7 linked regions of the Ovis aries genome follow. The protein of the gene in region 3 interacts with the protein of the main gene of each other region in a pairwise test. Links are inferred from orthologs where the notes say so. Each region holds a gene or a part of one and is shown on either strand. Other genes may lie near its edges. The genes, in order: C17H4orf46, LRRC45, KXD1, CCDC185, IFT20, MOB1A and EXOC7.

Region 1 (4,213 bases), on a different chromosome or scaffold from region 3:
TCAAATAATATGAAAACAATTACATCATTTAAATTTGATGCATTTTTTTAAAGTACTTGTTTGGAATTATTACACTCAGAATTTAAAATTATTACCTGCCAAGCTCCAAAAGTAATACTACAAAGCCATAATTTTGATAAGGCACTTTAAGGAGAACAATTAAACATACAAAACAGTGAATATAAGAAATATCCATAAAAGCAGTTAACCTCAGAAATAGAGGGGAAAAAAATACGTATTTTTTCAAGACAGGCTTCAGTAAAAGTTTTTTTGAAAAGCATCACAGAGGGGTGAAAAATATTTATCATGTGTTTTTAAAAGTTATCAAAGTTCAAATTCCTGTTAAAAAAAAGAAAGATAACATTTTCCTTAAAGTCAGTGAAGTTCTGACTCAAATACTTTTTCAAGAAACAATTAACATCTTTACGCTAAAGTTAAAAGAAAAAGCAGCTTTTAATTATGCTGTCAACTCTTATTTAACAAACATTTAGTGACTGTTGTGTAACAGTGTTTTAGGTTGCTGGAAATATGTAAGCAACTAAGACACAATCATTGGTTCTAGGGAACTTAGCCCAGTGGAGCTAAATCTAACATTGGTAACATGAAAGTTTACTTTCTTTGGGCCATAAATAAAGCTCAATTTCAAATTCTGCTCTTCTTGGCATCTTCTTGCAAATAGAAGAGCATAATGGTTCACCTCGTTTGCTACTGGCAACACTGTGGCATTATTACCTACTGATTAACTTTCATAAAAGAGTCTTTGAAAGTTCAGAGAACAGAAAGTGTTTAAAGATAAAAAAATATGAATCAGCCTCAAAAATAACATCAGCATTCTGTTTTCACAAAATGAAGAAAACCAAGAAAATTTTCATCTTTAAGTATCCAGAACCGTGCGATCATCCAGTCTCCATGGTACATGCGCAAACATCATAGATGAGGAGGTATGCATTATTACAGTCAAGTCAGTCATCAGGCTTCAAGGAATCATAGCCTTCTTTCAAGAGGTCCCGCCATGTTTTAAGGAAACGTGCATTTTCTGTACATTTGAAGGCAAGCTCTTCCACTTGAGCTGATACTGCAGATGTGGCTTCCAGAAGTTTGGTTAATGAAAATGCTGCCTGAAAATTAAAAAAAAAAAAAAAAAAGTAAAACTATATGTTTATTTTTAAAATTCTCTCCCTATTTTATGAACCTGGCTGAAAATAGCTTAGAATCCAATGCCCAAGTTCTTTTCTTTAAAAAGTTAAAAATCTTCAAACTACGACATGCCAGCTCTTTAGTGGAACCTAAAAAAATTGTCTACATTAAGTAAGCTTTGAGGACATCTGTCTACTAGAAAGATATACATTATGTATGAGACATGACCAGTCAGCATCTTTTTCGGGTGATAATACACTAGTCTCATTTAGCTCAACAAGACGACTTGAGCCCGTTGACACCAAGAAGTATTTGAAGGACTTATGATACAGCTCTTACTGATGGGAGGGAGCGACTTGCTCCGCTATTTTCATCTGTTTAACACTGCAGACCATGAAACCGTATGAACCAAAGAACAGACACTCTGAGCTCACAATTAACACCAACAAAAACAACACCCATGCAGAAAACACTGCAACCTTGGTGGAAAACTCATTTCTTGATCAAATGCTTTCTTCACCCACCGTATAAAATAACACTGTTCCTGGGTAACAAACATATCAGCACTGCATTCTACACGCTCATTTGGAACAGCCTGGTTCAGCAAAGATGAAGCTGTGTCAGCATTTCAGCCATCTTTTTAAAACAACAAATACTTGCTGAGGAATGAGAGAATAAAGGAGTTCACCCCGCGGTTTGCAACCTGCACAGGAGGATCTCCCGGTTAAGACGACACCCTACAGACTTCATTCACTTGACCTTAAATCGAGAAACCCGACTGTGTAGCTGGGTGGCTGTGAGTGTACGCGCGCGTCTACTAACTGGAGACTCAACAGAAGCCGTCCAGACCAGGAATCCCGGCCATCAGAGGGACGGGTCTTTGTATTGTTAGGGGTAGCAATCTGGACCACGGGGCGGGGACTAACCCATCCTAACTGGGTCCGCTCAGAATAATCATCGCCTACCCAGCAGGCTCTGGGCAGGCGGCCAACTAAACAGGGCGAGGGGGAGGGAGACGGATCAAGTCCCAGCAGAGGAATCCCTGTCTGGCCCTCAGCCCCGCAGACGAGGCAGGGCGGTGGGTTTGTGAACTGCGCCGTTTCGGGTTACACCGCGAGAGCGGAACCAGACCTCCAGGCACAAAGACCCCGCGCGGGCGCGGCGGGAGAGGGATGCCCTGGACTCCCGACGCGGCTCTTGAATACGTGCGGGACACGGCCCGGACCCGCCGGCCGCACTCACGTCTCCGATCTGCAGCTCCACCTCTTCCAGCGGGTCCACCAGTCGGCCGCTGCTCCTGCTCGGAACAGGCCAGCCCAAACCCCCTGGGGCGCCGGGGGAAGATGCTGAAGACGTGTCTGGAGAAGAAGGAGAAGAAGGGGGCGGCGGCGGCGGGGAAACCTGCAGCCCTTCAGGGTTCGCCATGGAGCGCGGCTGGGCGACTGGACCGGACTTGGGAGGCCGAACCAATACCAACCGTCTTTCAACCGCTCGCGCCCAAAGCCCAGCGGGCCCGCCTCCTCTCGGCTCTCCGCCGGGGACCGCGAAGCCGTGTCACTTTCTCGGGACAGCCAATCAGATGCCAATGAGTTCGCCTGAGGCTACTCTCCGCTCCGGGGGAAAACCTCCCAACGGGTTCCCAGACGCCGGAACAGAAGACCACAGCTCCCAAGGTGCCGTGCGCGCCGCTACGCCTCACAGTCTTGGGGCTCTGCGCGCGATTCATCCTGGGATTTGTGGTCCCCCCGCCCCCCACTCCCCAACCATTCCGGCGCTCTCAGCGCACGCCGGGTGAGAGGCCGTGCAGCCTGCAGCCGCGGGCGGCGCTGGGACTTTGAGTCCCTTCCCGTGCCCCTTCGGTCCGTGACCCGGAAACGCTGCGGGCGTCGCGTCGCGTCACTCGGGGCGCCCGCGCATAGCAAGACAGGCGGGAGCGTGGTGAAGCTGGAGCGTTCCGCGGAGCAGGCAGGTGGTGACTGCTTGCGTCTCGGCCGGCGATGGCGCCCCCAGTGGTTTAGAGGTCCCGCGCCCGTACGAGCCAAGCCCAACCTCCTCCCCGGCGTCGGCCAGCGTCCTGTCTGTCTGCTGTGAACATGCAGGTGCTGCTGGCCAGATTGGCCTGCCCGGGTGAGCGGGGTCTGCGGGCGCGGGTTGACAGAGCAAGGTCGCGGGGCAGTCCGGGCTCGCCTCGCTAGGGAAGAACTCGGGCAAGGGCGCGCGATCAGCGCCAGGTGGATCCTGGTTTCCTCCCCGGGCTTGTCCCTGTTGAAAAAGTTGACAACTAGGGCAGAGGTCACGGGCGGAGGAAACTTGTCAACGCGGCTCCCGAGCGGAATCTTCCCCGAACCCTGGTGCTGACCCTCCTCCCAAAGCCCAGATGTTGTCCTAGACTTGCAACAGCCTTGTTGGAAAATGGGTAAATTAGCTATTACACAGATTTTCTCCTTGGTCCTCTCCTGACTTGCGTCTTGCAGCCGTCCTACTCCTTTCTTAAGAATTTGAACTCTGTTCTGTCACGTTGACATTTATATGGTACCCAAGTCATCAGGTTATCTCTGGAGCCGGGAATTTTTCTGTGTTGTCTAAAATTGACTCTACAGCGTATCGTGTTATGGTTGCCCTAAAACCATCATGATGATTTGGTAAAATACCTCATTACCTCCCCTTTCACCTTAGAAAAAAAGTAGAATGATGTCATTGGACGGTTTTTGTTTGTTTTCCTTAAAAACAGTTAAAAAAAAGTTTACTCCAAGATATCTCTCAAGACTGACTTAATTTTTTCTGTAGTTTATTTAAATTTTGGTTCTAGAATAAACAAGTGTACATATTGCAAATTCACGGGTATTGTGTAAATTTCAAAAAAGTAGAATTTTGTCAGATTTGTCCACCATGTATTAAATAATTGGAATTTAAAGTTTCTGTTATGGTGCATGTTTTATGACACCTAATGTGTAAATACTGTTGACTGAAAAAAAATGCACAACCTAAAAGGTTGAGGATTGTGTTTTACTCAGCAGGCACAGGGAGCGCTTAGGAGACAGCCTCTTAAGATAGCTCTGAGGGACAGCTCTGTAGA
Region 2 (2,652 bases), on a different chromosome or scaffold from region 3:
GGGATCCCCACCCTGGGGGGCAGATGAATCTTGGGCACCCTGTTCCTTCCGAGTGGAGGCTACCCCAAGTGGCTTCGTAGGAAGCTAGGACGGAGGGCAGGTCCCAGGGCTGCACCCCAGGTGCAGCCTGCACTGTGGCTCGGGCACAGTCAGTCAGGGTCCCTTCTAGAAACCGGTGGGGAGGGTTTAGGTCTGACATCTGCCAGGACTGTCATCAGCAGTCCAAGGTTGTTGAGGGAAGCCAGGCCAGGAGTCTGCCTGGGGAACACCGTGCCCCACTGAGGTATCTGCATGCCCCGGGGTAGCGGGGAGGACGAAGCCCAGAAGACACAACTGATAAGGCACCTCCTTGAAGCGCAGATGTTCCGCGTCCTCCAAGCTCTGCCGGGACCTGTTCTTCTCCAGCTCCAGGCGTTCTGGAAGCACAGGGGAGGCGTGTGAGTGGGACTCCTCAGGGGGCCCCTGGTCCTCAGGCCCCAGCAGCAGGCTTGGCTGTGCTGACCTTCAGCCTGGATGGCCCGCATCTTCAGCTCAGCCGTCGTGTTGGTCAGCTCCGTTTTGGTCAGGAACAGCTGCTCCTGCTGAGATTTCACCTTCCGCTCCAGCTCATCCACCTGCAAAGTCGGCACGGAGGGAGGAAGCTACGTTCTGCTTTCCCGAAGCCCCACCCCAGGCTTCCCAGGGGCTGGCCCCACTCCCACCCCCACCCCATACCTGGTTTCGCAAAAGTAGGTTCTTCTCATTGGCAGCAGACAAGTCTCTGAGGAGCTTAGACTCCCGTTCTGCAGCTTCCTGGGGGTGACATGGCAAAAGGGTGTCGGTGGCCATCTGCCACCACGCACCCCCGGCCTGCCCACCCCACACCCACCCACCTGCTGCTCCAGCCTGTGCTCCTTGGCTTGCCTCTGCACCACGCTCCGCTGTTCCTGCTCTGTAGTGGCCAGGAGCTCCCCCAGGTCCTGGGCCTTCTGCTCCGACAGAGCCAGGGCGGCCTCCGTCATCTGCAGTCTGCAAGGAGGGAAGGGCCATCCCCACCCCAGCCAACCTCTAGCCTTTGCTAAGGTCATTCTTGCCAGGCCACTGCCCCTGCTAGTGCCCCTTGAGCTAGTCTAGGCTCCTCAGAGACTTGTCTGATGCCAGTGAAAAGAACTTGCTTTTGCAAAACCAGGGAAGGGGATGGTGGGGGAGTGGGACCAGGCTTCTGGGGAGCCTGGGGTGGGGCTTGGGGAAAGCGGACGAAGCTTAACCTTCCCTCCCTCAGTGCCCAGTGCCCGGCTTTGCAAGCGGATGAGTTGGAGCTCCTCCCAGAAAGCCTTCTCAGTAACTACCCTAGTGGTTTCCCTGACTTCCTTTGTGCAGTGGAACTTGAGTCCCTATTAGGATGGTCTTCCTGCCCTGTGGGCAGGTCTCTAAAGTGTTCTGAAACCTCCTCATACTCCCATCCTGCCCTCTGCCCCTCCTTACTTGGCCTTGAGGGAATTGATGATGGAGTGCCTCTCGTTCAGGGCTTCCTGAAGCTGCCCCACACGCGCAGCCGATGCCCTGTGGACAGAGAAGAGGGTCCCAGGGGCCCAAAGCCGAGTCGTCTGAGCCCCTCCCTGAAGCGGCTGCTGCCCCTCATGCTCACACAATGCCCAGGTGCGGGCTAAGGCAGTGCTCAGTGGAGCCTCGAAGCCTCCAGCCAACTCCCTCAGGAAATACAGCCCACATCCTTGTCTGTGGGGAGAGGACCAGGCTCACATGTTAGGTCACTCCAAGGCCAGAGCCAGGACTCAGACTCCCAGGTTCCCCCACTGCACTGCCGCCCTGCCCTGGACCTGGGGCCAAGCTCACTTGCTGCTCTTGGCCATCTCTTCTCTCTGTCTGTCGATCGTCTCCATCAAGTCCAGAAACTGGGGACAGAGCCAGGCAGAGCCCATCAGAGCCCAGAGCCCAGAGCCTGCTCATGCCCCACGGTTGGCAAGAAAGGAGGCCGACATTTACTGAGGCAGCAGGACACCAAGGAGCTGAGCCTCATCCAAGGAGAGGGTGGCTGCCAGACAGGGAGGCCCAGAGGGGAAGCCCACCCACCCAGCTGAAAAGCATCAGAAAAGAGGCTGCCTCGGGCCTAGGTACTGGCTTCTTGGAGAGGCTCCAGGGCTCAGAGGGAGGGAAGAAGGCCACGGCATGGGGGCTGAGGGAGCTCTGTCCACACAGCCAGGGCGGGGCGAGGCTCTGCAGTCAGAGGCAGCATTGTCCTTACCTGCTTGGACTTCTCTTCCCGGAGGTGCCGCACCTCCTTGCTGAGCACCTGGGCACGAGCCTGACTCTCCCGGAAGACAGTCTGCCGGTCCTGGTTGTGGTCCATGGCTTGCTCTGTTGGAAGCCGCACAGATCAGACCCCCCAGTGCACTAAGCAGGTGAGAGGCTCAGAGGCGGTGGGGCTAGGGGATGGGGCAACAGTGAAGCAAGGAGCAGGGGAGGCACCGGGTCGGGGGGACAGGCACGTGGAAGAGGTAAAGAGGCTGCTCAACAGTCATAAAAGGTGGGCATTTGGATTCTGCCCCAAAGCTTAAAAGCCAACATGTGATTTTTAAGAGGTGAATGTCATGCTCAGCTCCCATGTTTTGGACAGATCCAGGCAGCATTTGGAGAGGGACCGGCCAGAAGCGG
Region 3 (2,483 bases):
CCAGGACAGTAGCTGCCGTCCATCATGGGGGTCAGAGGGCAGGCTGAGCGCCCAGTGCCCCCTCCAGCCTGGGAGCAGGGCGTGGCAAGCGGTGAGCAGGAGGGTCCTGGCCTGTACCGGGCTCAGCCCTGTGTGCCTTCCCTTCCCCCACAGGACACTGAAAGGGAAGCTGGCCAGACAGCACCCGGAGGCCTTCAGCCGTAAGTGTCACCCAGAACTCCTGCATCCCACTTCTGGGCTCTGCACCCTTTGATGTCAGTGCCCTCAGCCCAGGGCCGGCTTCTGGAATGTACCCCAAGGGCTGACACCAGGCCCAGGCCCTGGTGGGTTGTGGGTCCAGACAGACGTGGGCAGGGGTTTGGCCTGGTCTTCTTGGCAACCTGCAGAGCAGGTGTTGAGATCAGAATCTCCTCCTTCGGCGGTTGTAACAATGGGATATTGACAAGGATGACAGTCCTCAGCCCAGTGAGTGTCATGCACCCACTATGAGGCAGGCTGTTACCCGTAGCCACCTGTGAGGTGTGGGCTGTGCCCAGAGGGGCAGTGACTTGGCAGCGGAAGCCCAGCATCGTCCATGCTGAGCCTCACTTTACCCAGTCTGCTGAATGGGCCAACATCTCCCTACTGCAGGGCTGCTGAAACCACAGGCACAAAGGCAATGCCATCATCCCCCAGTTTATAGAGCAGGGAGCTGAGGCACAGGCAGGTGAGGGGCCAGGCCCAGGTGACACAGTCAAGAGGGCAGAGCCAGGCTCAGGCTCACCGCCCAGGGCCCATGTAGGCCAGACCCCGGAGAACCTGAGTCCTTACCTCACTTCACCTTGAAGAGAAGCCTCTCACTTGCCAAGGCCTCAGTTTCCTCCTCTGTAAAATGAACAAAGTCCTGTCGTGTGGGGTGGAGGTAGCTGTCAGGGGTCATGGGCCCAATTAATCCCTCATCACAGCACCTGATGATGACGGTAACTCAGCTAACTCTCGGGTCTTCTTCCCCCAGACATCCCAGAGGCATCTCTCTTGGAGGACGAAGATGAAGACCCCATTCCGCCTAGCACCACCACCACCATCGCCACCTCAGAACAGAGCACAGGCTCCTGTGACACCAGCCCCGACACCGTCTCACCCTCCCTCAGCCCTGGCTTCGAGGACCTGTCCCACGTCCGGCCTAGTTCCCCCGCCATCAACGGTCGCAGCCATACAGATGACGAGGAGATGCTGGGCGAGTAGCCCCGCTCCCAGGAGCTCCGAGGGGGGTCTCAGGGTGGCAGCAGCGTCATTCCCCAGATGTCTCAAGTGGCAGCGGAGAACCCTGCCTGGAGATACTCAGCTTTGCCACCCTAGTCTGTCATTTAGGGCTCGCCGAGGGGACAAGGCTCCCTCCCTCTAGGCTCCCTCCCTAGAATTCCTGGGGGTATTTCATTCCTGCTCCTTCGTCACTGAGAACATCTCTTCTGTAGATCCCTCTATCAGACTGGGGATGACCAGTCCACCTGGAGCTGGGCTGGGCACAGGGAGCTTTTCCAGAGTCAGGCCTTAGGTCTACTCTGAACAACACTCCAAGCTTCCCAGAGACCAGAGCCAGCTGCCCCCTGCCCCAGCCCCCTGGTCAGAACCCCCTCAAGACAGCCAAGCACCGTCACGTCCGAGTCCACCCAGCCCACCCCTGCGCCTACTGATTCTGGTCTTCTTGCCCCTTCCTCCAATGAAAGTACTGAATCCTTTCTCCAATCATTATCTCAAGGAGGTTTCTGAAACAGTTGTAGAAGGCTCAAGACAGAGATTAGCCATCCACTCAGCCCCAAGCCTGGTCGGGCCCTGTTTCTCTGACCAGAGGTGTAGACCTCTAGGGCCTAACAAGCCTCTCCTAGGGCCTTTGTGGAGCAAGCCGAGCAACCTTGGAGAACAAAGTGGAATATTTTTGTACCCGATGTTTACAGATGCTGTTGGGAAGTTATCAATAAAGAGACTCTGTTACTAAAAAGGGGAGGGTGCATCTAGCAGTGACTTCTTTCCATCCTTGGGCCCAGCATCCCAAATCAGGGACAGGTGCTGCGTGTGGGACAGGCTGGTTATGGATCGCCAGGCACCACCAGCCTAGAAAGAAATGTGGCTGCTTTGGGTGGGCGTCCCGAGTGGTGACAACCATAATGACCCCACTTCCTATCCCCACAGAGGCCTTCCCACTGCTCACATTTCCCTACTTCCTTGAATAATTTCTCTAAATCTCAGCCTCAAAGTGGGCTCCTCAGGGAGCTAGACGGGGTCCCATTCCCCATCAGACACTGTCACAGAGTCCCCTCATCTTTGAAGCACTTTCCATTGTTATTAAAGGTCTCTTCCCAGACCTCAGCGTGTCTGCATTTGCCTGGTCCATAGGGGGCGCCGGGAAGTGGTCAATGAAGTAAGGTACCCTGAGCAATGACTCCACTGTAAAGAAGCCCCCTACAGTGCAGACGGTTCGATCCCTGGGTCAGGAAGATCCCTTG
Region 4 (3,704 bases), on a different chromosome or scaffold from region 3:
TGGAAGGATCCAAGAGAAAAAAAAGTTCCATGGTTTGTGAAAAACTCTAGGTTAATCAAATGTGTCTTTACTGCAAGACTTTTCAGAGCCTTTAAAATTTTCAGCTGTGTTATGAACTCCCAAGAGGGGATGTAGTATGCTGTGTTCTCCAATATACTTATTGACAGGAATTCCCCCCATGCTTCCCCACCTCACTTTTTGTTCTTGGAGATTTCCTATGACAAGTACTTCACACTTCACCCTTTCATAAGTTCTGGGACAGGGAAAGACTGAAGCCATGGCACAGAACTCTATTCCCCACTGTAGACTTTTTCTTTGGTTCCTCAAAATGTGTCTGACATTCATACGCTTCTGAGATTACCTGAGAGGCAAATGAGTATTTTCTATTTAAAGCCAAATGTACAAAGGCAAGTAATTTTCTTAAAACTTGGAAATGTTTATCCCACCCTCTCAACCATCCCAATGAATCAACAAACTAGTTCGTGAGAGAAAGTTGCTGCTATTTTATATGCTTTTTAAAAATCAATGCTCAGTCATAATCAAATTAGAAAATGAATCACATTGCCAGATCTCTGTCTAGCCACCTAGGCTGGAAGCTGTTTGTCATCAGGTTCTCAGTAGCCCCCTCTCTGCTGCCCGGCTGGGACCTGGGCCTCCCGGGTCATCCGATCAAAGAAGTTGTTGGCAAGTGTTCTCACGTCATCTGTCCTGGAGGCCCTGGAGATCTTCTGGAATTCCTCGAAGGTTGCGTCTTTCTCTCGCAAGATCTGCTCCATCCTCTGCTCCTGTCTCCGAATGGCTTCCTTGATGCCCTCGATGTGGCATCTTTCCTCCTTCTCGGCTTTCAGTTTCAGGATGTGATGATTCTTCTCCCGTAGGATGTTGAGCTCCCGAATGTGGTGCGCCTTGTCCCTGACGTTCTTGTGGACCTGACTCCGGGTCTGCAGGATCTTCTGGTCCGCCAGCTCCTCCAGCAGCGACTTATGCTCCTCTCTCTGCTCCTGGGACTCTTCAGCCCACCTCTTCACCTGCTGGAACCGCTCCTCCTCCTTCTGGACTCTGTCCTTCAGCTCTCTGTGGGGCTCCTTCATCTGGCCCTCGGGCATCTCTTGGGACCATCGGGAGCTCTGTTCCAGGGACAGCTTCCTGAGGAGCTCCTCAGCCTTGGCCTGGCAGTCCATGAGGACCTTCCTGGCCTGGTAATTGACTAAAGAGCTGAGACTGGTCTCCTGGATCTTTTTCTGGCCCTTGGTGGGGTGAACGTGCTTCTTTAGACATGCCTGCGCCAGCCTCTTCTGTAGCTGCAGGCTGTTTCGCACCTGCAGGTCCCGCAGCATCCTCTCTGGCAGGCGTTGCCCCTGGCACTGCTTCTCCGGCTCCGCCTCGGGTTCGGAGGGGGCCCCCTCCAGCTTCTCCTGGCGCTGCTTCTCCTGGTCCTCCAGCGGTGCCTTCCACCCGCTGCTCTCCTGCTGGACCGTGCTGGTGGCTCGTCTGTCCCGCCGCCGGACTCGCAGCTCCCGGTTCAGACGAGCCTTGCGCTGCCCCTTGTCCTGCTGCCACTGCTCCTGGCTCTGCTGCAGTAGCAGCTTGCGCTCCCTCTCCAGGGTCAACTGGACCTTCTGGTCGGAGCGCTTCAGCTCCTCCCAGGCCAGGGCCGCCTGCTGCTGCAGCTCCCGCATCCTCTGGGCCTTTTTGAGCCGGCTCAGCACCAGGGCCACGATCTTCTGGTCCCTGGAGGATATTACTGCCTCTTCCAACTTGTTCTTGAGGACCTGGGTGTGCTGCTTCTGCATCTCCTTGCTGGAAACTAGGGACTGGGAAAGCTGGCTGGTTAATGACTCCACCGGATCGTTGCTGTGTCTTTTCTGGATGTGCAGGCAACCCGACTGCGTCCCAAACTCTCTGGAGGACACAGAAGACTTCTCCGTGTGGACTGAGGAAAGGGACCAGGGACGTAGACCCCTGCCGACCGGCACTGCCCACTGGTCTCCGCTCTGCGCCTTTTCGTCCTCAAAGGCTCGGTTCGCGGGAGTGTAAGCTCCCTGCGGGTAAGGAGGGGGCGAATCTCCCCGGGCGGGAGGGTAGTGCTGGCCGTGCTGAGGCTGGGGCTCCAGCTGCCAGGCCGGGCTGTGCCGGCTGCCTCCCTGCTCCTGGGGCTTGGTCCTTGTCTCCCCCCAGACATCCTCCAGGCGCCGGCTGCGGGGTCGGGGCTTCCTGACACGGTCTAGTAATCTCCGGGTCACGTCGGTCAGGCTGCGACTTTCTTGCGGCGAGTCGGAGTACGGGCGCCGGCTGGGCCGAGGGGTGGCTGAGCAGAGCAGGTGAGGCCAGGGCGCGGTGGCCTCGCTCTCCTCGCCTGGTGTCCGGGCCCAGGAGCACAGGCCCGATTCGGTCCGCGGTCCCGACCCGTCCAGCTGAGCCAAGGATGCGCTCTCCTCGCTGGGCGGCGGAGGCTCCCACAGGGCCGAGTGGGGCCGCGGGGAGAAGCGGCCGAAGTCCTCCATTCTCCTTCCTGCACGCCCAGCGTCTGAATCCGGGTCCCGGGTCTCGGCGGGGGCGCTGCTGAGACCCGCCCCGCCCTCCGATCCCGGGGTCCTGGCCGCCTGTGACGCTCAGGCCACTTCACAATGCTCCCGGCGCCACCTGGCTGCTGCAGCCCTCAGCCCTCGCCCACCTTGGCCTTCCTAGCACCCCGCGCAGCGAGAGGCGGGAAGGCGGCTGGAGCCTGGGAGAGGGCGTATGGTAGAGGGGGCTGTAGAAAGTTCGGGGCACCCTAAAGATGAGGGTGCGTAGTGAACCCCCACCTGTGTTGCAGGCAGGAATTTGAACTCGCATTTGTACATCTTAAACTAGCAGAATTTTAAAAGGATAGAATGTGGCCTGGAAGTGTGGGGTGGGGAGTCCTTTAGTCACAGGTCCCTACCACAGTGCACCTCTGCAGTGTAGGCAAAGTCGAGGCTCGTTAATTTATATGCACCATCCTTTTGCCCTTATAACTTAGCATGCTCAAGGATAGTTTTTTAAACTTTTAGAGGACAGAAAACAAAACACAATAGTTTGTTTCCTCCTAATACAGCAATTACTGCTTTTGTCAAAATAGGAATGTTAGGTGCATATTTCTGAAATAGCATTGGTGGACACCATGGCAAATCACTTTATTGTTTTCCTTTTTCTCCAGTTTTATGAGATGACTTTTTCGGGTTGAGGCATTCAGAGCTCATGGGAAGAGCACTAGATTTGGTCATGTAGACTTGAGCTTGACTCTCCTCTGCCACTTTCCACTTGTGTGGTCTTGGCCAAGTTGATAACTTTCCTGACCCTCAAGTTCTGGAACAGATGACTGGAAGAGGGGCCATGACAATACCACTGTAGGGCTGCCATAAGGTAGATGAAACTATGCCTCAAGAGCCTAGCACCTTAATACAGTCAATTAATATCATTTTGATGTCCTTCTAGCCTTCAGCTACAAATTGTAAGATTTAATACAGAAAATACATTTAATACATTGTAAGATTTTTACATATGAACATGTTCCATTCCAATAGTGTATTCCTAAATCCAGTTTGTCATGAGTCCAACAAGGTTAGCCTAGGTACCCAACTAACACAGTCAGCTATATAGTACTGTAAGGTGGTAGGTTTATAATACATTTCACACAAATAATACATACAAAACATACACAAAAAAATAAAACATTTTTAATC
Region 5 (2,234 bases), on a different chromosome or scaffold from region 3:
TTCTTACCCCTGGCTTCGTGTGGTTTTTTTTTTTTCCCGTGTTTATTTTTAACCCTAATTTTTAATTCACTCCAATTTTCTCTTTTACTTCTTTCATGTTCCAACACTATATTTGAAAAGCTCTTTTATGTCCTTTTGGATACATAACTGGGGATAAAGAAATATGCTTATGGCTCCCAGCTTAGTTCACACATCACTCCCTCACCCCGAGTTAACTGTTCTCTTTTCCTCCAGCTCTTTAGTGATATTTCTGTGAAAGCACTTAACACAGTGTAATTTTGCAGTGTCCGTGTCTGTCTCCCTCCAGCTACACTCTGTGCTCCTCCAGGGCGGGCACCATGTTGCGCGCAGCTTTATCCCCAGCATCTAGCAGTGCTGGCATGTAGTTGGCACTCCAGGAATGTGTGTTGAATGAACGATGCCTGTGACAAGCAACTGGACTTTATTCTTTCCTGACCCTTGCTCCTATGACACACCTCTCCCTGGCTGACCCTGTCAGAGCAACTCTCTTCTCTGGGGAAGCTGGAAGGCAAACAGGTGAGGCTCAGAGAGGCGGAGGCAGAGGGAAGGGGGAGCCTTTGGAACATCTGGGCTTTTGGCCTTGGTGTCCGGGACCAGGAGTGGGGCTGGGCTGGAAGCTGGCTTCTCCTTGAGGGGCTGGGAAGTGACTGGGGACTGGGGCTGGTTTCTTTACAGCCATGGCCAAGGACATCCTGGCTGAAGCAGGGCTGCACTTTGATGAGCTGAACAAGCTGCGGGTGTTGGACCCAGAGGTTACCCAGCAGACCATAGAGCTCAAGGAAGAGTGCAAGGACTTTGTGGACAGTGAGTGTCGTCTGGGGGGACATGGTGCCACACAGCTTTGTGCCTTGCCCCCATCCCGACTGCAGCTCTGGGCCCTGTCCAAATGGAGCTGCTGTCTCCCAGGAGGTTGAACCTGGCCCTCCTGAATTCCCATGTGCCACCCACCTTGTCTGCGTGCCCTTCTATGCTCTCAGGTAGTCCCAGGACACCAATCAAACACGGTTGTGGAGACAGGAGGATGTTTGTTTAGGTAGGCCATCCCAGGAACCTTCAACTTCAGAACCATGACTTGGGGGTGGGAAACGGAGTTAGGATTTGATTTCTTGGGAGAAATAGTGTTCTCAGTGGCAGACTTTCCATTGTTTGGAGTGAGAGTTGATCACCTGGAGTTTGGAGAGGCAGTTCAAAAGACTCAGTGGTCATTTTTTTTTTTTTTTTTTTAAGCTAGTGATAGCCAGGATGCCTCCTGTCCCAGCAGCCAAACAAGCCCAGTAGCAGCAAATACAGAGCAGATGTAGCCAGTATCTGAGCCTTCTGGGGCGTCCATAGGCTCTAGAGAGAGCTTGACTGGCGGAAGGTAGTGGGTCCTCTCACACGTCTTCTGAACACTCTGTGTATGTCGTCCTACCCTCTGGGTCTTAGTTTACTCCTTGGTAACACGGGTTCCACTATACCCAGGGACACTGAACAAATGAGATTAACTCCTTAAATGCTTTGAGCTTTTTATTAGCTCTGGTCACAAGTGGAAAGCCCCCAGTCCCCATCAAGTCAAATCTAGTCTTACCTGCGGCTTGCCAGAGGCAGCGTTCATATCCTGAGGCGGTCCTTTTGTGAGGTCAGTCCTTTGTGCTTCCTGTCATTCCTAGGACAGCAGGATGCAGTCCATCCCGGAGGTGCGCCCATCAGGAGCCTCAGAGCCTGAGCTACAGCTTCTGGCTGGTTCAGTGGGGACTCAAGATCCAAATATACCCCAACCCAGCTCTGGGCTGACGGCCACCCTTCTCTAGTTTCAGATCAAGGCTGTCAGACACCAAATGGCTTTTCACACAAATTAGAAGAGGCGGTTAGCCCTGCCCTCTTGCCACAAGGAAATGCTGAGGGAGAGTGGTAAGGCTGAAAAATAAAACATTTGTTTTTGTTCTTCTTTCCACAAAAGAAATTGGCCAGTTTCAGAAGATAGTTGGTGGCTTAATTGAGCTTGTTGATCAACTTGCAAAGGAAGCAGAAAATGAGAAGATGAAGGTAAGATCAGCAAGTATTTCGTCTAACTTTCGGCCTGGTTCACTAGTCTCTCATCCTTCTGCCCCCCGCCCCCGCCCCGCCTTGGTTTTTAATCTGGTTCTTAAAGATTCTGGCTGTGCTGCGTCTCCGTTGCTGCTGTGTGGGCTGCCTAGTTGTGGCGAGCCGGGGCCGCTCTTTGCTGTGGTGAG
Region 6 (4,282 bases), on a different chromosome or scaffold from region 3:
GGCAATAATAAAAAAAATACATAATAGCAAATGTTATCAATGATGTGGAAATATCAGAATCTTTGGATATTTGCCAGTGGGAATGTAAAACGGTGCAGCTAACGTGGAGTACAGTCTGTCAGTTACCCCAAAGGTTAAACATACAGTTATCTGTTTCTGCATGACACAGCCGCTCCCAGGCATATACCCAAGAGAAAGGAACACATTCATCCACACAAAAACTGTAGCAAGAGTATTCATTATAGCCAAACAGTGGAAACAACCCAAATGTGCATCAATAGATGAATGGATTAAAAAAATATAGTATATTCATGCAATGGAATAGTGTTCATTTATAAAAAGAATAAAGTACTGATACATACTACAATGTGAATTAAACTTAAAAACATTATGGTAATTGAATGAAGGCAGTCACAAAACAACCACATATTGTATGATTCCACTTATATGAAATATTCAGATTAGGCAAAGTCATATAAAAAGAAAGTAGATCAGCTGTGCCTGGTCTTAAGAAGAGGGAGGCACAGGGGGCAACTGCTAATGGGTACCTGTTTTGGGGGGGACGTATTGGGGAAAAAAAAACCTAGGACAAGATAGGGGTTGAAGGACTCTGAATACTCTGTGATAAAAAACACAAAAGTGTACTTTTTAGAAGCGTGAATTTGGGGCTTCCCTGGTGGCTCAGCGGTAAAGACTCCACCTGTCAATGCAGGAGACACAGGTTCCATCTCTGACCCTGACCCAGGAAGATTCCCATATGCTGAGAAGCAACCAAGCCTGTGTGCCACAACTATTCCGCTGTGTTCTAGAGCCCAGGAACCACAACTACTGGGCCCAGGTGCTGCAACTACTGGAGCTGGTATGCCCCAGAGGCTATGCTCCCTCCACAACAAGAAAAGCCACCACAGAGAGCAGCCTGTGCATCACAACTAGAGAGGAGGCCCTGCTTGTCACAACTAGAGAAAACTGGTGCTCAGCAACGAAGCTGCAACACAGCCAAGAAATGATAAAATAAATAAAATTACTCAAAAATAGATAAAGAGTGAATTTTAAATCTCAACTTAAAAATCAAATTAAAATTCAAAACACTTTTTTTAGGGAATGAAGACTCAGGGCTTTCTACGCCTTGAGCCCAGGTTCCATCCCTGGTCAAAGAACCAAGATTCCACAAACTTCACACCACAATGGAAAAAAAAAAAAATTAAGGTTTCTGCGCTCACAAAGGCCTCTTGCCACCTAGGGAGACAGGAGGCACACAACAGCGACAATCAGAACCAAGCGCAAGGTCAGCCATTCTTCCAGGCCAAGGACCGTGAACCCACCACGACTTCCGGAGCGGAAACCCGACCTTAGAGGCCCCTGATTGGCTGAGGTGAAGGAGCGGGCGGTGCAAAAGGGGGTTTGTAGATACGCTCTAGAGGTGGGGGGCGGCGCCTAGATGGGGGAACGAAACCTTAGATCGCGAGATTTTGCTGGTTCCGCATTTTGGGTCTGGAAGGTGGGGGAGGAGTACTAGGCGGGCTCAGTTGCTCACACCCGCTCGTACCGTCTCTGCCTCGGTTCCACCCGGGCTTGGAGCTGTGGCGGCGCCGGCTTCGGCTGTCCGCCGGCTTCGGACCTTCTGCTCCTTCCCGGTTCCGCGCGGACTCCGAGTCCTGACCGCGGCGGGGGCCAGCGGCCCCTCCCCTCCGAGGACAGAAGATGAGCTTCCTCTTGTGAGTGTGGCGGGGGCTCCAGGGCTGAGTGAGGGCCGGAAGGGGCGATGGGGCGCCTGAGGCGAGGGCAGCCCCCCGGGCCGGGGTAGGGGTGCCAGGTGCTTGCTCTCCTAGCGCTCGGAGTCTTGGGGGAGTCTAGAATGTGGGCAGAAGCCGACGGAGATGAAGGTCGAGGCAAAGGAAGCGGAGCGAGAAGGTTGGGGTGTAGAAAGGCCCCGAGGCCGGTAGCGCCTCGAAACTTTTCCGCTCGAGTGCACCTGAGGGCAGAGAAAAGATCCGGGGCTCCCAATTTCTCTCAAGTCCCCAGCCTTTTAGAAACGATGCATGCTGACTAAGCTTTTTATTCCACCGTACGCCAGCTTTATTATCGTCAGGATTAAATTTCCCCCGCGGAAAAATGCCGCCCCTGGAAAATGTGGGAGTGTCTCTAAAGTTAAGCTGCGGCCTTTACAAACAGTTCTGATTCAGCCCACTTTGTGAATTTGTGTAATTAACTAACATCTTTTCAACTCAGTAGAATCCTGTTTTAGAGATAGCTGTTGGACCCAAATGAGCCTTCAAGTGGGAAAAGTTTGTAAATTCTCTGATGATTCTTAAGCACATTAACGTTTGGGAAACATTGCTGTAACACCTTTTTTTCCTCGAGTGGCCCTCTCTACCTAGTGTATTGCTTAAATATCTATTGTATGAGCGAATCCATTTTTAGTTATGGGCATCACCCACATACTTGATATCTAAGTGTATCATAACCAGAGTTCACCCCGTTTCTTATTGTGAGAAATTTGGATTCTTTTTTAGTATTTTGCTATTGTAAAATACGATTACAAAGCTTTGACTAACAATCGCTTTTCCCCTTTGGATTATTTTTTAAGCGAATAGCCTTCAAAGTGTGATTACCATGTCAAAAAATCTATGTGACCTATATTTTAATTGAAAGTTTCCTTATTACCAGAACAACCCCCGCCCCATAACCAGTCTTTTTTTCTTATGTTAATGTTTAGTTGGTGGTTTGTTTGTGGATGCACAGTTCTTATTTGTTTTTTGGACCTAAATATGGCTCTGTTTATTTCTTTTAAACTTTATTTTGTTGATAGACAATTGAGTTTGCGCTTTTTGGCTGTTATGAATAATGATGCTGTAAAACTTGTGTATAGATTTTTGTTTTGGATGTATGTGTTAATTCTTTTGAAAATTTCCCCACAGCCTCTCTAGCACTTGTTAATTGAATTTTTGATTATAGCACATCCTAAGTGGATGTGAAATGGTATCTCATTGTGATTTTAGTTTGTTTTTCCTTAGTGATTAATGATGTTGAGCACCTTTTTGTGTGCTTATTGGCAATTTGTGTATATTCTTTCAAGTAATATCTATTCAAACACTTCGACCATTTTTTTAATTGGCTTGTCTTTGGTTTTAAGTTGTAAAAATTCTTTATCCTGGGTATGTCCCTTAATCACATGAGTTTTACAAAATTTTCTCCGATTTTGTAGATTCTTTTCACTGTCTTGATGGTGCCATTTGAAGCACAGACGTCTTCATTTACATGAAGATCATACAGAACCTTGAGACATCTTTTCTTGCTAGTTTTCCATATTTAGCTTCCTGTCATTCAGCTTGTTTTTATTGTAAAGGGCCATTCCCTCTAATGTAATACTTCCCTATTAAATTTAGCTCTTTATTATGTTAAACACAAGCTTCCCATGTTAGATTTTTATTGTTTTCATAACTCCTTTTTACTTAACAATCAGTCTTATTTAAAATTCAGATTACTCAGGTAAAGTGAAAGTCCTCAGTCTTGTTTCCTTCACTTCCTGGAAGTAATCACGAGTATCAGTTTGATGGGTGGCATTTTCCATGCATTTACAAAATAGACTTCTGCTGCACCTTTCATATTGTAATATGTGTGACCGTGTATTGAAATCTGTGTGAATTCATGTAGCTCTGTCTTGTTCCTCTTAATTGCCGTGTGGTATCCATGATACAGATGTGTCATGCCCATTTCTCCACTAGTAAGCTTTAGGATTGTTTCCAGGTTTTTCACTATTAAAAACAATCTTGGAAAACACATCCTTATCGAGGACAGATGCCTAGAAGCAGAAGGGACGGATTGAGGAGCATTTCACATCTGTTCATTTGTCACTGTTTTTCTTTCTGAATTATATAATCATCTCTTTAGCCCATTTTTCTAAAGCCTTTTCTTAACCAATTATAAAAGCCCTTTATTATGTAGTTCATACTTTGTAATATGTGTTACAAGTCCTTTTTTTTCCTGAATTATGGAAGTTTTAATTGTTGTAGTTAGAAATCTGTCCATTTTTTTCTGAGCTTTGTGTCATATTAGGAAGACCTTATGAATGGTGTGAGAGAGGAATAAAAGCTTGCTTTTCCCCTCCAAAACCTGTTGTTTATTTTCCCTGCCATAAATTCCAAATGTTGGTGATTCTTCTTTAGTTTGCTTTAATGGCACCACAGTATTTTGATACAGAAAACTGGATTTTTAAGCTTTAAGAGCCTTAGAACTGCCACTCTCACAGCACTGCTTTCTGTAGATGAAAACAGGCCAAAAG
Region 7 (3,500 bases), on a different chromosome or scaffold from region 3:
TTCCCAGCCCCAGTCACGGGAAGACACCAGGCTGGCCCTGAGATGCCAGCCGAGCCCGCTCAATGGGTCAGCAGTGTGAGACCAAGTAGGAGGACAGGCAACACAAGAGGAGGTGGGGAAGTGCAGGAGGAGGCGGGAGCGGGGCACGAAAGACACTTTCAGACAAGTGGGGTCCGCGCTCCAGGGCGAGGACGGTGGAGGGAGCCGGGGGGACGGAGGCCGGGGCAGGTGGTCAGACCCTGCTCTCCTGATGCTGGGTCTGATGGTCCAAGAGGCTTGAGGGAGGTCCCGTCACAGGCCACGACTCCTTTCCACCCACCCAGGGTGGGGGGAATCTCCTCACCCAGAGAGGAGGGTGCCCCCTGGGGAGGGGCTAACCCCATGTCTCTAGCCTGGAGGGAGGAATGGGGTGGGGGGCCCCACTGGGAGGTGTCAAGTACCTTGGGAGGCCAGCATGGCACCTGCCGTCTCCTGGAAGTCCAGGAGCTGCTGCAGGAAGAGGATGGCCTGTGTGGGGAGAAAACGGGGCCAAGAAGAAGGTTAAGGGCAGGACCCAAAGGCTGGATCAGCCCCCACAATGCAGCCCCTCTGACCGTTCCAGACAGGTGAGGGCAGGCGAAACGGGTGGGAGCAAACTTGCTGCTTCACCCTGTGGGTCTGGCCTCCAGGGAAAGGCCCCGTCTGCAGAGGGCACTTAGCGCCTCCAGCCCATCCTGCCACCTGCGCCCCCCGCCCGCCCCAGGAGTCCCCAGCAGCACCTACGTTGCTCGTGAGCTCGTGCACGGTGCCATCCTTGGGCATGTTGTATTCCTTGTCGGGGTCGTTCTGTGGGACAGACAGCCTGAGTCCCTGAAACAGCTCCTAAGGAGGCCCCAGCCAACCTTGCACCCGTCTGTGGGCCCACAGCACCACCTCCTGGCAGACAAGTGTCAGGACACCCCATCCGGCACAAAAAACGAGCAAGAGGGACCTAAAGGAGCTTGATGCCTCAAGTGGGGGCCTCTGGGAAAGAAAGGGAGGCCCGTGGGTACTGACAGGAGACCAGCAGCACGGCTGGCTGGCTTCCCTGCAGGGCAGGCCCAACCCACTTGGAGGCCTGCTCTCAGGAGTTCCTGAGGCCGGTCGCAGGTGGCCCTGCCTGCAGCCCCGCCTGCCGGCCTGGGTGGCGTGAACAGAGGAAGGGCACCTTGATGTTGTCGGCAAAGTCCTCCAGCGCTTTGGCTCCCACAGTCTCCATGGAAGTGATGAGGCTGGGCAGCTTGTTCTTGGTGCTGGCGGCTGTGCCCTGAGGATGTAGCCACAGGGCTGCACAGGGCTCCGGAGCCCTGCTCCTTCCCAGCCCCCCGCCCCGGGGACTGTCTCTTCTCCTCATTCCCCTGAGAGTGCCTCCACCCACCCAGGGCCCTGAGGAAGCTGCCGCTGCCCACCACTCTGAGCAGAGAATGCAGTTCTCCTGGGAGGCCCTGCTAGGCAGCATCCCCAAGGGCCCCCCCCACCCCCACGTACCTGGAGCACCTGGTCAAACTCAGGCTTGGTCTGCTTGAGGTGCCGCAAGATGGGGAAGACAGTGAGCACGGCTGAGAAGTCGTGGCGGATGATGGCCTTGCGGGCGGCCACCACAATGTTCTCGCCTTCTAGCATGAGCCCGTCCAGGGCGTCCTGAGAGAGCGGGGCAGGGGGAGGGCTCAGGGGAGGGGCAGCCAGCCGGCTCCCATGGCCAGTGAGGGGACCTGGAAGGGTGTGAGGAGGTGTGTGCCTCTGATCACCCAGTTCAGAGGCCCCAGGATCGGGGTGGAGGCAGTGGCTGGAGTTAAGGGCTAGGAACCTGGCCCAGACTCAAGCTTCTGCAGGGATAGCTCTCACTTGGGGCGGGGCGGGGCCAGACCTGTATCAAAGAGTCGAAGGTCTTTTTCTGATGGTGCTCAGGGATGACGTCCGTCAGCAGCTGGTACTCGCTCTGGGCCAGCTTGACAAAGGCACTGGCGCAGTGAATGTAGGCATCGGTTTCCACGTCCAGCATGTCATCTCTCCCTGGGGGGACAGCAGGGCCCCTGAGCTACTGGTCTGGGGTAGCCCCTCTCCCTGCTGGGGTGGGGGCCGTGAATCTCTCCAGCTCCTGGCCAGATTGGCAGCAGATGGGAGGAAGACTGCTGGCAGAAAGCTGAGAGGACTCCAGCAGAGCTGCCAGGGTTTGAGGAGGGAAAAATGGGGCTGAGTCCAGCCTTGGTCTGAGCTTCATTTTCAGCTCTGCTGTGGGCAGTATTACTATCCCAGAGCGTCAGGTGTGGGAGGTGTGGGGGAGGATTCAAGGACAAGAAGACCCCTCAGTCTACTTCCCGGAGAAGACACGTCTGACCCCAGACAGGGGATTCTGAACTGTACTGGGAAGACGACACCCAGGGATGGGCAAGAGGCAATGTCCACCCCAAGGAGGTTGGCGCCATCTCAGAAGATGCTGGGCCTCTAAAGGCAGACACCGGCCTGGCCAGGCCTGGAATGTATAAAAAGGCAGTGGGCTCTGGTTTATGAGGCTAGCTGACATGGGATTAAAGTTGAAGAGCAGGCCACGTGAGCCCCAGACAGGGAGGATTGCTTGGTTGTCAGCTGCCCCAGGAGGAGCAGGGGGTCCCTCCCGGTACTAGAGGCTGAGGCAGTGGTGTCCGCAGGCAACTGGATGCTACATGCCAAGGGACGGGCTCTGAGGGGGTCAGAGCCTGCTGCTGGAGTCAGGTGCGGGCGCTCCCTACCCTCCAAGGGGCCGCCTGCAGCTTCTGCCCTCGGCCCAGGCCCCGAGAGCCCAGCCTGCACTCCCGTCTGGAGAGAGGCAGGGAGACCTAGTGCCCGAGAGAGAGAGAGAAGGAGGCCGGGGAGAGAGAGAGGCGAGTAGGCCTGGCTCGTCCTCGGAGCGGAGGCCGGCTGGGCGGCGGGAGCGGGCCCTCCGAGGGGTGGCCGGGAGTGCGGCAGTGGCGGCCCGCGGGCTGGGCTGCAGTACTCACCGGCCAGCGGCCCGGCCTTGTCGTTCAGGGCCTCGGACAGGTGCTTAACTCGGAAATCATGCTCGTGACCTAGCGAGACGTTGGCCGCAAACACAAGCAGCGTTTATCCAGGGGCGGGGTGGCTGCCTCTTGGGTCGGGGGGCGCTGAGAAGAAGCCCTCAGTCTCCGGGCGGATATGAGATGGGGTGTGTGTGGGGGCACTGGAGAGGGCTCTGAGCCCCTCCTCTGCCTCAGACCACCTCAGGAACAGCCGTTTCAAGCCTGACTTGCAGTGCCTGGACCACCCTTGGGAGCCAGTTTCCCCAAACCCGGAGGCTGAGAAAGCTGTGAGGACCACAGAGGGTTTCTGAAGAGTTTCCGGCAGCTGCGGAAGGTCTGATGTTCAGCCCCAGGGGCTGAGTCTCACCGTATTGGGGAGAGATCCAGTTAGAGAAATGTCACTGCCCAATGAATGGGGACAGGCTCCTTTTGTGCCCCAGGGACATTCTTTTGAAGGCGGATCTG

Evidence for each region.
Region 1: the proteins of KXD1 (region 3) and C17H4orf46 interact in binary tests that used the Homo sapiens proteins (3 or more experiments, as listed by UniProt). The two-hybrid records come from large-scale screens. The link is inferred for Ovis aries from reciprocal best matches to the Homo sapiens genes KXD1 and C4orf46.
Region 2: the proteins of KXD1 (region 3) and LRRC45 interact in binary tests that used the Homo sapiens proteins (3 or more experiments, as listed by UniProt). The two-hybrid records come from large-scale screens. The link is inferred for Ovis aries from reciprocal best matches to the Homo sapiens genes KXD1 and LRRC45.
Region 4: the proteins of KXD1 (region 3) and CCDC185 interact in a two-hybrid assay, tested with the Homo sapiens proteins (2 studies listed by BioGRID and IntAct). The two-hybrid records come from large-scale screens. The link is inferred for Ovis aries from reciprocal best matches to the Homo sapiens genes KXD1 and CCDC185.
Region 5: the proteins of KXD1 (region 3) and IFT20 interact in binary tests that used the Homo sapiens proteins (3 or more experiments, as listed by UniProt). The two-hybrid records come from large-scale screens. The link is inferred for Ovis aries from reciprocal best matches to the Homo sapiens genes KXD1 and IFT20.
Region 6: the proteins of KXD1 (region 3) and MOB1A interact in binary tests that used the Homo sapiens proteins (3 or more experiments, as listed by UniProt). The two-hybrid records come from large-scale screens. The link is inferred for Ovis aries from reciprocal best matches to the Homo sapiens genes KXD1 and MOB1A.
Region 7: the proteins of KXD1 (region 3) and EXOC7 interact in binary tests that used the Homo sapiens proteins (3 or more experiments, as listed by UniProt). The two-hybrid records come from large-scale screens. The link is inferred for Ovis aries from reciprocal best matches to the Homo sapiens genes KXD1 and EXOC7.

What each region holds. Positions count from the first base shown.
Region 1 is NC_056070.1:40,564,080-40,568,292, reverse strand, and holds the start of C17H4orf46 (renal cancer differentiation gene 1 protein), read right to left. Parts: upstream 2,801-4,213; 5' UTR 2,563-2,800; coding exon 2,380-2,562; intron 1,119-2,379; coding exon 963-1,118; 3' UTR 1-962. Other genes in the region: ETFDH (electron transfer flavoprotein-ubiquinone oxidoreductase, mitochondrial), read left to right, coding at 3,231-3,264.
Region 2 is NC_056064.1:50,381,679-50,384,330, forward strand, and holds part of LRRC45 (leucine-rich repeat-containing protein 45), read right to left. Parts: intron 2,356-2,652; coding exon 2,243-2,355; intron 1,893-2,242; coding exon 1,834-1,892; intron 1,543-1,833; coding exon 1,465-1,542; intron 1,009-1,464; coding exon 873-1,008; intron 793-872; coding exon 715-792; intron 615-714; coding exon 503-614; intron 417-502; coding exon 346-416; intron 1-345. UniProt on the Homo sapiens protein: Component of the proteinaceous fiber-like linker between two centrioles, required for centrosome cohesion.
Region 3 is NC_056058.1:4,427,555-4,430,037, reverse strand, and holds the end of KXD1 (kxDL motif-containing protein 1), read left to right. Parts: intron 1-153; coding exon 154-200; intron 201-994; coding exon 995-1,224; 3' UTR 1,225-1,983; downstream 1,984-2,483.
Region 4 is NC_056065.1:26,077,260-26,080,963, reverse strand, and holds CCDC185 (coiled-coil domain-containing protein 185), read right to left. Parts: upstream 2,564-3,704; 5' UTR 2,505-2,563; coding exon 615-2,504; 3' UTR 501-614; downstream 1-500.
Region 5 is NC_056064.1:19,760,491-19,762,724, reverse strand, and holds part of IFT20 (intraflagellar transport protein 20 homolog), read left to right. Parts: intron 1-307; 5' UTR 308-467; coding exon 468-537; exon of another isoform or gene 538-696; coding exon 697-825; exon of another isoform or gene 826-1,960; coding exon 1,961-2,046; exon of another isoform or gene 2,047-2,234. UniProt on the Homo sapiens protein: Part of intraflagellar transport (IFT) particles involved in ciliary process assembly. May play a role in the trafficking of ciliary membrane proteins from the Golgi complex to the cilium.
Region 6 is NC_056056.1:96,002,872-96,007,153, reverse strand, and holds the start of MOB1A (MOB kinase activator 1A), read left to right. Parts: upstream 1-1,482; 5' UTR 1,483-1,701; coding exon 1,702-1,715; intron 1,716-4,282. UniProt on the Homo sapiens protein: Activator of LATS1/2 in the Hippo signaling pathway which plays a pivotal role in organ size control and tumor suppression by restricting proliferation and promoting apoptosis.
Region 7 is NC_056064.1:54,916,416-54,919,915, reverse strand, and holds part of EXOC7 (exocyst complex component 7), read right to left. Parts: intron 3,066-3,500; coding exon 2,997-3,065; intron 2,032-2,996; coding exon 1,886-2,031; intron 1,660-1,885; coding exon 1,507-1,659; intron 1,286-1,506; coding exon 1,187-1,285; intron 826-1,186; coding exon 763-825; intron 508-762; coding exon 441-507; intron 1-440. UniProt on the Homo sapiens protein: Component of the exocyst complex involved in the docking of exocytic vesicles with fusion sites on the plasma membrane.